2 linked regions of the Kluyveromyces lactis genome follow. The protein of the gene in region 2 binds, or shares a complex with, the protein of the main gene of each other region. Links are inferred from orthologs where the notes say so. Each region holds a gene or a part of one and is shown on either strand. Other genes may lie near its edges. The genes, in order: VPS74 and SAC1.

The links.
Region 1: the proteins of SAC1 (region 2) and VPS74 are in contact, whole or in part, in a crystal structure (PDB 4TU3), measured with the Saccharomyces cerevisiae proteins. The link is inferred for Kluyveromyces lactis from reciprocal best matches to the Saccharomyces cerevisiae genes SAC1 and VPS74. Residues at the interface, in NP_012710.1 of Saccharomyces cerevisiae: Gln9, Tyr69, Ile95, Ser97, Thr98, Lys99, Phe100, Asn101, Ser102, Arg103, Ile104, Ile112, Glu116, Lys120; in NP_010660.1 of Saccharomyces cerevisiae: Ser164, Gly165, Glu166, Thr167, Trp168, Asn169, Leu170, Leu171, Lys172, Ile173, Gln176.

The regions. Positions count from the first base shown.
Region 1 is NC_006041.1:216,542-219,506, forward strand, and holds VPS74 (Vps74p), read right to left. Parts: upstream 1,656-2,965; coding exon 681-1,655; downstream 1-680. Other genes in the region: CTS2 (putative chitinase), read left to right, coding at 1-495; ubiquitin-specific protease UBP2, read right to left, coding at 2,106-2,965.
Region 2 is NC_006038.1:1,261,746-1,265,623, forward strand, and holds SAC1 (phosphatidylinositol-3-phosphatase SAC1), read right to left. Parts: upstream 2,556-3,878; coding exon 678-2,555; downstream 1-677. Other genes in the region: TRP3 (bifunctional anthranilate synthase/indole-3-glycerol-phosphate synthase), read left to right, coding at 1-453; DOA1 (Doa1p), read left to right, coding at 2,871-3,878. UniProt on the Saccharomyces cerevisiae protein: Phosphoinositide phosphatase which catalyzes the hydrolysis of phosphatidylinositol 3-phosphate (PtdIns(3)P) and phosphatidylinositol 4-phosphate (PtdIns(4)P). Has low activity towards phosphatidylinositol-3,5-bisphosphate (PtdIns(3,5)P2).

The sequences.
Region 1 (2,965 bases), on a different chromosome or scaffold from region 2:
GATAGACATAACATATCTTCACGTAGAATAGCACTTGGTATGGCGGCCTATGGACGTGGTTTCACCAATGTCGAAACAAATGATGATAATTATCTTGGCAAGAAATATCACGGAGTTGGGGGTGGATCTGAGGGTGAGCCAGGGATTTGGTTATATAATCAACTACCGATCGATGGTAGCAAGGAACAGTTTGACTCAAATGCAGTCTCAGCTTACTGCTTTGATCCTAAATCCAGAACATTTGTGGGGTATGACAATGTTCAATCCATGGATATCAAGGGAAAATACATCAAGAAGAAAAACTTGAACGGTGGATTTTGGTGGGAATCTTGTGGGGATTCCAAAGACCCCAGGAAGTCACTAGTTAACGCATTTAGTAAGGAAATTGGCCTGTCTGAAGGCTTTGTATCATTGTTCAAAAGCGATAAAGTAAAGCAATTTCATTTACAAAAGTACCCCAAGGATTATATTTCAAGTCTTTTCCAGAAGCTCTAACTTCAGCCTTTCATATCAGATTTCAATGAATGAATATCATTACCAAGTAATGGAATTTGTGCTCAAATCGAGTTTACATTGTGATTTAGAACTAGTCGGATATTGTCCGTAGAATTTTTGAGATACAAGTATATATATATATGTGAATGATCCACACTGTTCTTCGAATCATAATACTATGGACTTTATAACAATGTGTCCATACGTGAAAAGACCTCAAAAACTCCAGCAACAACTTCAAGTTGCAAATCTGAACCCGGATGATTATTTAATTCCTGTGAAATCTCTTTATTTAAGTTCACTGAAACACCGGTGCTTGTTTGTTTATCGAGTGGGAACGGAAATTCTGAAAATTGAGCTAGAATTTCATCCGCACGAGCAAACCCTGTATCTCTCACTTCGTAATCTAAGGTAGCCAAGACATTTTCTAGAACATTAGCACCATAAGCACCACAGATTAAAGACAAGGTTCTAATATATTTAAAGGAAACATCTTGTGGGAAATAGGTATTATAAGTCAATTCAGCATTCCTTGAAACCAGTATCGATAGTATTCTTCTTTTAATAGATTCCTTGCAAGTTGTATCAGTGATCGGGTGTGTGGCCATGTCAAACAAAAAGAAGTTCTTCATTTCAGTTCTCAAAACACCTTTGTCAACCAATCCCTTTGCTAATCTTTCCCTAACTTGTTTCAATTGATAATTGATCTTTAGGAGATTCCAAGTCTCGCCACTAAGTAGGTCAATCCATCCGACAATTGAAGTTGGTGGATCGTTCTTCATTAAAGATAAACTTTCATCAAGTAAGACCTCGCCAGTTTTACTTCCGTCTATGACTTCAATTAATCTCTCACTGACATCGTATCTCTTTCTTGCTGGATCATCAACACATCTAATCTTACCTCGTAACGCTAGTTCTATCAAGATGCACCCACGTAGGGCGTACGAGATATTATCGTTCCAGAATGATAAATATCCCTGTTTATCCTTTAGTCCCATCAACAAAACTTCCTCCATTAAGGTCAACTTAGGAACACTAGTGTTGTCCCTTAGTTTCGCCTCTTGCTCGTCATATACAATCTTATGATCATGCTCATTATCTATTTGAGGGATTGATTCCGTTGTATCACCTTTATTAACTCGGCGACGCTGTAAAGACATGATGAATTTTTACCCTATTTTTTCGGCGTGCAACTTTGCAAGTTCACTTCTTGACAAGTCACAGTCCAATTGTCGGATAACAGAATTCCAATCCTACCTTCAAGTCAAACCTAATGACTTAAAGCCAATTGTGACACGAAGAGTAAATCTTTAAAATCATTCACCATAGATATAAACTAGGTTTGATCAAAATCAGTTAGTTATTTTTCATTTTGATGTTTTTTTTTTTCAAATTAGATCAAGGTAACTAACTAATTAAGAACTCCTGCCTGCCTTGCGAAAATCAATTTACCCTCACATGTGGATATTGAATCGAAGATAGTATCCGCACAGTAAGCCTAACTGAACGCCAGATCTTATAAATTTTACCAATTCCTGCATTACATACTGATCTATCTTTTAATTAATATAATGTAAATCATATTTATGCCACTTTAAGAGCGACACGGGTTACTCCTGTTGTTGAAGAATTCGTTTCAATGGTTCGATAGTTTCTTGTTCTTGACCTTCACGGACGTAGACCAAAAAGTATGGAGTGGCCGTATTACCCTCCGTGAAGTTGAATACTTCCGATTGTGGCACCTCTGTAACTGAGTCATCATTATACTTCCTCCAGATACCATTTTTGGTGTGATCTTTAATATAGACCCAGTAATGGCCGTAACTTGCTTCACCACGATGAATGAAAACGGCGAATAAAGAATAGCCGATATGTTTGAATTCGCTGAACTGTTGGGAAATAGTTGTCTCTAGATCTGTAATTTTGTTGAATAAGCTCTTTAGTTCCTCGTCTATGTTATTGATTAAAATATCAATGTAGGCGATCGATGAGGGGATATTGTCCGCATCAATATCGTGCGCTTTCAAGGTACCGGACTGTAAGAACTTTTTGGTCTCAATGAGCGAGGATTTTAAAGTTAATCCTATTTCGTTCTGTGAGAGTAGTTTCCTCTGTCTTTGCTTTAAGTCTTGAAGTTTCTGTTTCAATTCTGCGTTTTGTTGAATTTCTGCTAATAGTTTTGGATCCTCGGTAGCCATATATCTATCCATGTACAACGTTTCGCCGAAAGGTAGCGGCTCGATAGACTTGAAAGGCATGAATTTTTCTCTATCATAATAGACTCTCTGGATTTGAATTTGTAGAACCGCAGGTAACTCTGAGATAGATACAGTTCTCTTTACATCACCATACTCCTCCAAATTCAAATAGTCATTCTGAAAGTAAAAATCTAAAGCATCATAAATATCCTTTGGATGGTCACCGGTGTTAACCAATAAGGATAAAAACCTTTCATATTTTGTCCGGACAG
Region 2 (3,878 bases):
TCGAAAAGACCATGTGTATTACGCAAAGAATTCATTTTCTCAAAGTACCAAATCCTAGAAGCTAGACTTGCAGGCGCTGATACTGTGCTATTGATCGTGAAGATGCTTGACGACAACTTGTTGAAGGAACTGTACGATTATGCAAAAAGTTTGGATTTAGAACCTCTAGTGGAAGTAAACTCCGCAGAAGAACTAAAACGTGCGTTGGCAATTGGATCAAGAGTGATCGGAGTTAATAACAGAGACTTGCACTCTTTCAACGTAGATTTGAGTACTACCTCAAAATTGGTCAGTTCTGTACCAGAGGGAACCCTACTAATTGCTTTATCTGGAATAACAATAGCAGCTGATGCTGATCAATATAAAAAGGAAGGTGTTCATGGTGTTCTTGTTGGAGAAGCTCTCATGAGAGCTGAATCTGTAAATAAATTCATCGAGGAGCTAATCAACTAATGATACCAGTCCATTTCATCCTTCGTTATGTATGTATCCACCAACTTGTAATGATTGTATTTCTGTAATTTTAGATATAGACGTTAAAGTAAGAATGATACAGATACTATAAATTCAAAAGGTATCGAACATTAAAACTGGGAAGAAGAAGTCATAAAAGTAGAAACGTCATGGAGTAAATAAACATGAAAATGAAAGCTCTATACATTAAGGAATGTTCAATGCTAGTCCCTCTTGAAGGAATTTGGTTTAACGAACTTTGGATCAGGAACGTATCTAACACCTTTGAATTGTTTCTCCTTGTTATGCGTGTGCTCAGCAATCAAATACCCTAAATCGACTAACTTTGGCCAGTTCACATATTGAATACCCCTCTTAAATACGAAATGTGTGCATAAGACAACAATACTGAAGGATCCGAAAAAGAAAGATAGATTCTTCGCACTTGTGAAATGATTCTTGGGGAAAAGTATAGTTGCCATCATAACTGTGAGGGCAGCGTAGATCATGGTAGGAACCGCTTGAATTAGCATTGGTCTTCTATCTGGGAATGGTGAATGGACCACACTTGCGTAAGGTCTGAAATTTCCCAGGAACAAATCGAATGCATCTTCCCTTGGGCCATCTGTCAAATTGTTTTGATAGTAACGAGAAATAGAGTTAATACCATCCTTTATAGCACCTAGGTAAGTACGTTTGCCAGTTCTAGTGAAATCGGTCTTCAATGCCCCAGTACCTGAATAAGCAACACTGACAGCGTCTGCGTTATCTGCCCAAAAGCTTTGGAATTCAAACAACAAGTTCTTGTCTAATTCCCATAAGCCGGTATCGTCGGTCAATCCAACAGTCTTAAACTCTTCTTGTAACACCCAATGAGCTAACACGGATTGAACCACATTAGTTCTGTCCAGGCAATCCATACAGTTAGTTCTAACCACCGATTGCTGCTTGGAGAAAACTTGCAGTGTAACACCATTAGCATCCAAAGTCTTGTGGAAGAAATCTTTATTGGACAAGCCCATTGATTGCAAATGATCCAATAACAATTTGACCTTGTGCCATTGCATATTCCTACATTCGTGATGGAAATCGAAGTAGATATAGTGAAGCTTTGGGTCATTTAAGGCAGTAACAACCTGTTCGTAAGCTTCCTTCACAGGTAATTCGTGTCCCTTTTGATTGACTAGATTCACCAAATAGTTTTCATTGTACAACCGAGTTTGTTCATCGAAATGCTTCTTGGTTGCATCTAACGAGCTGTTCTCAGCCAACAACAAGTTCGGCTTGTACTTTAAATTGTTCAACTCTGCCCAATAAACTGGCACGGAACCCCTCGTTTGTAAAAAAGAGAAGAAGTGATAGCCATCCTTCATTGGCTTTTGAACACACAGCACCTGCTCTGTCTCGTTGAAGTTACCAACATTACCGTGTTCGTCAATGCCTCTGCGGAAATATCTAGTTCCGGCCCTAAATATACTCCTTCTCGTGATCAATCCAATCGAAATCGGAGTCGCATGGAAAACAGTATCAACAACCTTAGCATACCCATAGATCATAGGAATAATGAAGTCTGATACCCTGTCATCAACTTTAGCAAGCTTCTGCAAGGATTCTGTCACGTAATAGTTCCAAAAGAACCTCCTGTCCGCTTGTTCCCACGACACAGCTGATGACTCTAGTTCTTCGTTCCTTTGAGCACTGTTTGTCAAATCGTAACCATACGAATAGAACAGAGTCGCACCAGCTAAATGCTGTTCCAATAACTGCAAATACTGAGACTCATCAGAATCTGGTCTCTGCTTCTTATCAACGCTGATAATCGTGTGCTCAGCCACCTTGTACACATTATGACCGTTCAAACAACCAGCTTCCTCGACTCTATTGGCAATAATCACGTACTTACCGAACTTCAACTTGATGATACCGATCAACGCAGCCACCTTCATGATATTTCCACGAACAGGAAACTCAGTACTGCCCAAAACGTTCACCTCGTTCTCGTGTGTTGACACATTTAGAACCGCGTCGTTCTTCGAAGAAGAACTGGCTACCTTTAACAGGACCCTATCCTTCTCCTGGCACACAAGTAACGGACCTCTCATTTTCTAAGGAGATTCTCAGAGCACTGAATTGAATACGATTCAGCAAATTCAGGTACAATTGGATCCTCTGTTGGCGTGTCTCGTGTACTTGATAAACTAATTCATGATAAAGTTGCGTAACTGAATTTGTTTATTTCGAAAGTTTGATTTAAACAACTAAGCGAATGTCAAAAATAAAGGTATTAGCGTGGGAAAGAGCAACTACTGAATAAAACAGGGCTTTCCAAGTATACAAAGTATTTTAATCAGGTTCAGGTGATTTTATTTGATAGGTCTAATAGTTGTAATTGTACTGGTACCAATTTTAAGTGAGAGATGTACCAACTTAGCGCACAATTGCGTGGTCACACACAGGACGTGAGGAGTGTGGTTTCTTTAAGTACGACTCAGGTGGCAAGTGCCTCTAGAGATGGTACAGTTAGGATATGGAATTTGGATGCGGATGGGAATTGGGAAGGTTCTATTGCGTTTAGCAGTGAAAAGTTTGTGAACAGTTTGACGTACGATGCTAAGCAGTGTGTTCTATTTTGCGGTGGCCAAGAAAAGATTATTTACGGTGTGTCTCCGTTGCTTGCTCTGGGGCAAGAACCGGTTTATACTTTAGTAGGCCATGAGGGGAACATTTGCTCACTTTCTGGAGACTTTGAAAGCCTAGTGAGCTCCTCTTGGGACAAGACTGCTAAAGTGTGGACTAATGGGATTGTAAAATGGGAACTTAAGGGACATTCGGCCTCTGTATGGGATGCCAAGCTCTTGAACGATGGGAGCGTCCTTACAGCGTCAGCAGATACTACAGTTAAGTTATGGAAAAATGGTACGCTGGCTAAGACTTTTGATAAGTTACATTCCGATGTGGTTAGAAATATATGTATTCTTGACGATGGAAAGCATTTTGTTAGTTGTTCCAACGATGGTACTTTGAAGCTATCCAACTTGGAAGGCGGTATTTTGCACGAGTTTATAGGTCATGAAAGCTTTGTCTATGCTGTGAAACAACTGCCAAGCGGAGATATTGTGTCTTGTGGTGAGGATAGAACCGTTCGTATTTGGAACATGGATGGAACTATCAAACAAGTCATTACTTTACCAGCGATCTCCATTTGGACCGTCGATGTGTTACCCAATGGCGATATTGTTGTTGGTAGCAGTGACAAAATCATCAGAATCTTTACTGAGAATGAGCAAAGACTTGCATCCCAGGAAGAGATCACATCTTTGCAAAAACAAGTGGAGGAATCTGCCGTTAACGCACAGACGATGGGGTTTGACGAATCGAAGTTGAAACCATCGTCAGTGCTTCAGAAGCCGGGTGAAAAGGAGGGT